Kluyveromyces lactis: one gene and its partner. The protein of the gene in region 1 interacts with the protein of each later gene in a biochemical or structural test. Links are inferred from orthologs where the notes say so. Each region holds a gene or a part of one and is shown in the gene's direction. Other genes may lie near its edges. The genes, in order: SEC18 and SEC17.

Region 1 (4,337 bases):
AGATAATGACGGACAAGTAACTGCAAGTGGCTTTTATAGTAAGCGAAGGTATATATATATGTGATATTGTATGCAAGTTTGTGCTGTATGCAAATTATGTATTAGGTAGTTATTAGTATTGGATATTAAACGGCTTAAAAAGCACATTAGTAGTATACTGCGTCATGAAATGGACAGTAGTTTTTACCAAGCATGGAGACAGAGTCCTGAGTTGCGGAATTCACCGTAGCTAATTTTTGTACCTTCTTCTTAAACCAACTCTTTATACAGTGATAATGAAACACACATAGGCACTCTAGCCTACCGACTTTTTGTCCTGGAGCCATTTCTTCGAAACATATTGGACACTCTTGAATATTCGTAGCGTTTTTAGGTATTTGGTATACGAGCATTCTGTTCTGGTAAGTTGGACTTCCGATAAGACTATGCTGCTGTTGAGCAAGTTCTGCTTGCCGTATGCATTCGCTTACATGTTCTTGTTGGGCTGCTTCTTCTGATCCGAAAACTTGTAAGTCAAAATTACAAATTGGACATCGATCGTAATCTTCATCAGCAGCATGTATATTCCTGGGACTATTTCTCTCGCTTTCAGTTTCTCGTACATTTTCCACAACGTTTTGGTTCTTCATAAATTCAAAAGGCCTTATGGACGATGATCGGATGGAGTTGATTTCGGAAGTAGATCCCATAGAATTTCCGATTCGTCTTGGTGGTTTCGGTAACTGTATTTCACCCCACGCAGTTCTCAGTAGCTTCATTTGTAATAGATTTTCATAGCAGGAATCACAAGTCCTGTACGGTTCCATTTCATACTCTGCTGGACTTTTCAAAACCACTTTAACCCGGTTTTTATCATACCATGCGAATTTTGAACAACAAGTAGCACAATAAATTCTGCCACAACATCTACAGTGATGACGCCTCACTAGAAAACTAAACTTGATCCCACAACTTAGACACTGCGTCACATTCTCATCCTTTTCCCACTCGCCAAACTCGTTCACAAACTGACTGGAAATATTACCATTCCGCCATCTGTCTCTGTCTCTCCTTGCATTATCCGAAGAACCAGTGACAGTCATCGTTTCACCATCGACGTGCCCTGCCACCAGAGCACCAGTAGTCATGTCAAAAATTCAGCTGATTTTCTATGTAGCAGCCAATAACCTGCTGTGTTCACAGAGTGCTCTACTGTCTTGGACAATTGATTACAGCCACTATTGTGCTTTCATGATCTCATCCTTAAAATGATGTGCTTTCTGTTATAAAACTGATTCTGTTGACAAATTCCTAATGTTAGCAGCATACATTCTGAAAAAAAACCATGAAATCGAGGAAACAATAGGTGAGAAACAATACTTTACCTACAATTAGACAGACAATTGCCTGAAAACAGTACGAGAAGACTAAGTAATATAAGGTATCGTTATCAGATCTTTAAAAGCTAACTATACAGTTGAGTGAATATTATATTCTTTTTCTTCAATTGACAATCCAAGAGTTCACAGAAAGCTATAAGTGTCATTGCGCCCCTTTTGAAATATGGAGAAATTCGGGTTGAGTGGCAAGTTGCCATCTTTTGGAAAGGCCACGCATTCTACAGGGGTACCTGATATGTCTAATGTTAATATGAGTACTAGACAATTGCGTGTCGCTAACTGTCCAAACAACAGTTATGCATTGGCTAATGTGGCAGCTGTCTCACCAAGCGATTTACCAGAGAATATTTACGTTATTATAGACAACTTATTCGTGTTTACCACAAGACACTCTAACGAAACTCAACCTGGTACCATTGGATTTAATGGTAACCAACGTACTTGGGGAGGTTGGTCATTGAATCAAGATGTACAGGTGAAACCGTACGATTTATTCCAACATTCGGGCAAGCATGCGTATCTAGGATCTGTGGATCTGGAAATCAGTTTCAGGTCTAGAGGAAAAGCCGTGGAGACTCCTTTTGATCAAGATGAACTTGCTAAGCAATTTTTAAAGAGTTTTGAATCCCAAATATTCTCACCAACGCAGTACTTGATATTCGAGTTTAAGGGACATATCTTCGATCTAAGAGTAAGATCAACGCAAACTATTGATTTGGGAGATGTAGAAATTGTAGCTCCGGTTTCTACCTCAATTGAAGCTAAGGCAATCTTAATCAAACAAACTCAGATAAACTTTTTCAAAGGAAGAGATGGATTGGTTAATTTGAAATCGTCCAACTCGCTGAGACCAAGATCGGATGCCGTTATTAGACCTGATTTCAAATTTGAAGACTTAGGCGTTGGTGGTTTAGACCGCGAATTTACCAAGATTTTTAGAAGGGCATTCGCTAGCAGAATTTTCCCTCCAGCTGTTATTGAAAAGTTAGGCATCTCCCATGTCAAGGGTCTTCTATTGTTTGGACCCCCAGGTACAGGTAAAACGTTGATTGCCCGTAAAATTGGTACTATGTTAAACGCAAAGGAACCCAAGATCGTGAACGGTCCTGAAATCTTGAGTAAGTACGTTGGATCTTCAGAGGAGAACATCCGGAACCTATTCAAAGACGCGGAAGCTGAATACAAGGCAAAGGGAGAAGAGTCCTCGTTACATATAATCATTTTCGATGAGTTGGATTCTGTTTTCAAACAAAGAGGCTCAAGAGGTGATGGAACTGGCGTCGGTGATAATGTTGTCAACCAATTACTTGCCAAGATGGATGGTGTCGATCAATTGAACAATATCTTAGTTATTGGTATGACCAATCGTAAAGATTTGATTGATAACGCTTTACTACGTCCTGGTAGATTCGAAGTACAAGTTGAAATTCAATTACCGGACGAAGAAGGTAGAGAACAAATCTTCGAAATCCAAACCAAGAAAATGAGAGAAAACAACATGCTCGCACATGATGTTAGCTTGAAAGAACTTGCATCACTCACGAAGAATTTCTCCGGTGCTGAAATTGAGGGTTTGGTGAAGAGTGCTAGTTCTTTTGCAATCAACAAGACTGTAAATATCGGAAAAGGGGCAACCAAACTAAAAACCAAAGACATTGCAAACATGAAGGTGACTAGACAAGATTTCTTGAATGCGTTAGATGAAGTGACTCCTGCGTTTGGTGTTAGTGAAGAAGATTTGAAGACTTGCGTAGAAGGTGGAGTCTTTAGGTTCTCCAACTCCGTAGACGACATTTTGAAAAACGGTGCTAGATACGTCCGTCAAGTGAGAGAGTCAGACAAATCAAGACTAGTATCCTTACTAGTGCATGGTCCTCCAGGTTCAGGAAAAACTGCCTTAGCTGCCGCCATTGCATTGAAGTCTGAGTTCCCATTTGTTAGATTAATTTCCCCTGAAGAAATAGCAGGTATGTCGGAAACGGCCAAGATCGCATACATCGACAATACCTTCAGAGATGCTTACAAATCGCCACTTAACATTCTAGTTATCGATTCGATAGAGACTCTAGTTGACTGGGTTCCAATTGGTCCAAGGTTCTCTAATAATATCCTACAAGTACTCAAGGTCTATTTGAAAAGAAAACCTCCAAATAATCGTCGTTTGCTTATCATCTCTACTACGTCCGCTTACACGGTGCTTAAGCAAATGGATATACTAAGTTGTTTCGACAACGAAATTGCTGTCCCAAACGTATCAAACCTAGATGAACTGAATAACATTATGACAGATTCCGGATTTCTTGACGATGCTGGTAGAGTCGAAGTTATCCGCAAATTATCCCAAGTTACATCTACTCTCAACGTCGGCGTGAAAAAAGTACTCACAAACATTGAAACAGCAAGACACGATGAGGATCCCGTCAATGAACTTGTTGATCTAATGGTGCAATCATCTTGAATTATACTATTCATTTCTAATATGATACATTTATATATATATATATATTATACATATGTGATATGTACTCGCGACATAGCACATAAACTTCAACTTCGTTCTCAATGATATCAACTTTTGATGAAGGTTGAAATTTTTCAGCATGCTTCCGTTGAAGATCAAAGAGAATAAGTGAAAAAAAACTTTTCAGTCTATTTATGTGAAACTTCTTCCTATTGCACCTTGCAAAATAAAGATATATACTTGGATCTAGTCTCTGATTTAGAAAGGGTAGATAACAACCGTTCTCGACCCATCGATTATACTAGCATTTCATCATGGCTCCACCGGCTTTACGTCCTGAGAATGCCATTAGAAGAGCTGACGAATTAGTCTCTGTTGGCGAGCCAATGGCTGCGTTGCAATCTCTATTTGATTTATTATCTTCAAGAAGGTCTCGTTTTGCTGATGCTGCCACTTTGGAACCTATAATCTTCAAGTTCTTGGAACTTGGTGTTGAA
Region 2 (3,103 bases), on another chromosome or scaffold:
TAGTGGACAGTGGATCTTTCATCCTCACAGTTTTTTCAATTCTGCAAACTTGACGAGTTTCAAACTCATTTACAATACCAACCAGTTTTCATCTTTAGCAAGTGATTAGAATTTAAAGATTGTATAGGTTGTTAACTACGTTTTATAGTTGTTCATATTCACTCTTATATACCCTCCAGAAACCAAGCAAACACAAAGAAACCAAAATGTATGATACCTAATGCACACCGCGCACAGTTATGGGGCCGAAGAACTCAGTGATCGATATAACAAGTTGAACTATGAACTATGATAGACTAGACGATGAGGATTGAAGAAGACGAAGAAGAAGCAGACTGATACGATACAGGCAGACTGACCTGTTCACTAGGAGATGGAATCAACATAGAAGAAGTGTAGTGACAAATGGGTAACTGGAATTATACCATAAGCACAAGAAACTACAGCTAGATGCAAAATTCCAGTGTGATGATTTATAGTGTCAGCTCCACACGCACGACAGCAGAATAAATGACGATCTATTAGACCTCCTCCCCCAAAAAAACTGTTGTTCCTTTAATTGCAACAATTTTACTAACTTTTATATCTGTGTTATTACCCATTCTACCTGTGGTATCGATTCATTACCACCCATTATGTGAACAAATTGAATCGAACTATTGGAATCGGACGTAATGAATACACAATTCATTTTATATTCAGGGCTAAAAGAACTAAGAAGGTTGGTATCACTGGTAAGTACGGTGTCCGTTACGGTTCCTCTTTGAGAAGACAAGTTAAGAAGTTGGAAGTTCAACAACACGCCACTTATAACTGTTCTTTCTGTGGTAAGACTTGTGTTAAGAGAGGTGCTGCTGGTGTCTGGTCTTGTTCTTCTTGTAACAGAACCATCGCTGGTGGTGCTTACACTTTGTCTACCGCCGCTGCCGCTACCGTCAGATCTACCATCAGAAGATTGAGAGACATGGCTGAAGCTTAAGCTTGTTGCATCGTATAATCATGTTATAAGTATCCTTCAATAAAACGTATCTTTCCACTTTGTGTTATTTTATATTCCATCTACCCTATATAACTGATTTAGGCGTGATGGTCGAGTGTTCATCCTCGCGTCCAGCCAAATACCTTGGACCGGCTCCCAGGCCAGCCTATTTGAAAGTCACGTGAATTAATTACCCGGCTGCTGATAGCCTTCCGTTGTTTCTCCCCTTAAGGAATTTCTTTACTTTCTGATGGTAATTAGAATATGTAACATGTAATGATGATACAATGTTGATAGTTTGATAGTAAAAGTTGTAAGCAAGCTCTTGGTTGACAAAAGTTAACAGCATTCAGCCATATCCCACTCAGGTTTTCTTTGAATATGTCGGATGTTAAAGAAATTATAGCTAAGGTACGTTTTTTCTCCATCATTTATGTTGAAAGGTCAAATCAATAAGTCTAGGAAAGTATGATGACAATGGTTGACCTTATTCTCGCCTGAACCCCTAATACTAACAATAAACATATGCAAACCCTAGCCATAATGTGATGAAAGAGGAAGTGATTTATCATTCGTATTCTCTCTTTTTCACTTAATGGTATGGAAACATATCTCATGTCATTTTTGTAATAGGCCGAAAAGAAGGCTAAACCATCATCAGGATTTTTCAGTTTCCTTAGCGGTTCAGACTCTTACCGTTACGAAGAAGCAGCAGATCTTTATATCGAGGCTGCAAACCTCTATAGGCTAAGAAAGGAGTTGGATCAAGCGGGTGATACTTTCTTGAGGGCAGCAGAGTGTCAAATACAGGCTTCTAATGAAGATGAAGCAGGAAATACGTATATCGAAGCCTACAAGTGTTTCAAGACAGGATCTTCTCCAGCACAAGCTGCTGAGTCCTTAGCCAAGTCGATAGATATTTTCACAAGAAGAGGTCAGTTTAGAAGAGGTGCCAACTTCAAATTCGAATTGGCTGAATTACAAGAACAGCAATTACAGGATTACCCAAGTGCCATTGCCAATTATGAAACAGCTGGTGATTGGTATTTGCAAGACCAAGCTATTGCTCTCTCGAATAAATCCTACATTAAATGCGCCGATTTGAAAGCTTTGAACGGTGATTATTTGGAAGCTACCGAGATCTTAAAGAAAGTCGTTGAAAATTCATTGGGGAATAAATTAAGCCAGTGGTCGCTCAAAGAGTACTTATTGAAGATTGGCCTATGTTACCTTGCTGCTGGTGATGTTGTAGCTGCAGATAAAAGTTTGAACGAATCACAATCGTTGGATCCATCATTCTCTCAATCAAGGGAGTTTGAGTTACTATCAAACGTAATTGAAGCTGTAAGGGAAGGTGATACTGAAAAATTATCGCAAAAGATCTACGAATATGATAGGTTCAATAAGTTAGACCATTGGAAAACAACTATACTCTTGAAGGTGAAAAATACAATCGTCGAGGCGGATGACGATCTACTATAAAATGGTAATATTCAACTCATTCTCTTGTAATTGTATTCTTTTCTCTAACACAACTGTCACTTTTTTGGTGGAATAATTATTTTATAAATGGTGTATACCCATTTGTACAACCACATCGAGTGGTTTGTTTCACGTTAACGTCTTTCATTTCCCATTATCAACTATATCGATGCAAATAAGCTTGCCATCTGGCTTGGACGTTTGGAAATTTTGAAGATGTTAATGGTAACGAAAATGTTTTTTAAGCTTCTGACGAACGGCTCCCTTACCGTTTTGAATAAATATACAATTAAGTAAGAAATGTATCACAATTTTTTACATCTTCTTACGGTAAGAAACAAACCTAATATTTCAGAATGCTGGTACAATTTTTAATGAATATGATGATACTTCCTCAGCAAATCTACTAGATGAGCCTACGCAAAAGGCAGTTGATTGATAATATCACTAGATGAATGAAAACACATCAACTGAGGGGTAACATGATCTCTAAAACGTTCAGATAAGAGGACCCTTTCGCATCTTTCCGTAAAAAAAGTATGCAAGTGTAAGAAAAGAAATCAAAAGAATGAAAACCTCAACAGATGCGTTTCCGTTCTTACTGGATCCTGGAGATTGCGGACTATTACTGATTATCCTGAG

What was found.
Region 2: the proteins of SEC18 (region 1) and SEC17 form a complex in vitro, tested with the Saccharomyces cerevisiae proteins (2 studies listed by BioGRID). The link is inferred for Kluyveromyces lactis from reciprocal best matches to the Saccharomyces cerevisiae genes SEC18 and SEC17.

Annotation. Positions count from the first base shown.
Region 1 is NC_006039.1:1,269,005-1,273,341, reverse strand, and holds SEC18 (AAA family ATPase SEC18), read left to right. Parts: upstream 1-1,542; coding exon 1,543-3,837; downstream 3,838-4,337. Other genes in the region: PIB1 (phosphatidylinositol-3-phosphate-binding ubiquitin-protein ligase), read right to left, coding at 147-1,127; RPG1 (translation initiation factor eIF3 core subunit a), read left to right, coding at 4,155-4,337. UniProt on the Saccharomyces cerevisiae protein: Required for vesicle-mediated transport. Catalyzes the fusion of transport vesicles within the Golgi cisternae. Is also required for transport from the endoplasmic reticulum to the Golgi stack.
Region 2 is NC_006041.1:529,552-532,654, reverse strand, and holds SEC17 (alpha-soluble NSF attachment protein SEC17), read left to right. Parts: upstream 1-1,360; coding exon 1,361-1,390; intron 1,391-1,612; coding exon 1,613-2,461; downstream 2,462-3,103. Other genes in the region: RPL43B (60S ribosomal protein eL43), read left to right, coding at 207-208, 703-979. UniProt on the Saccharomyces cerevisiae protein: SNARE complex protein that binds to cis-SNARE complexes on membranes and is required for vesicular transport between the endoplasmic reticulum and the Golgi apparatus and for homotypic vacuole fusion.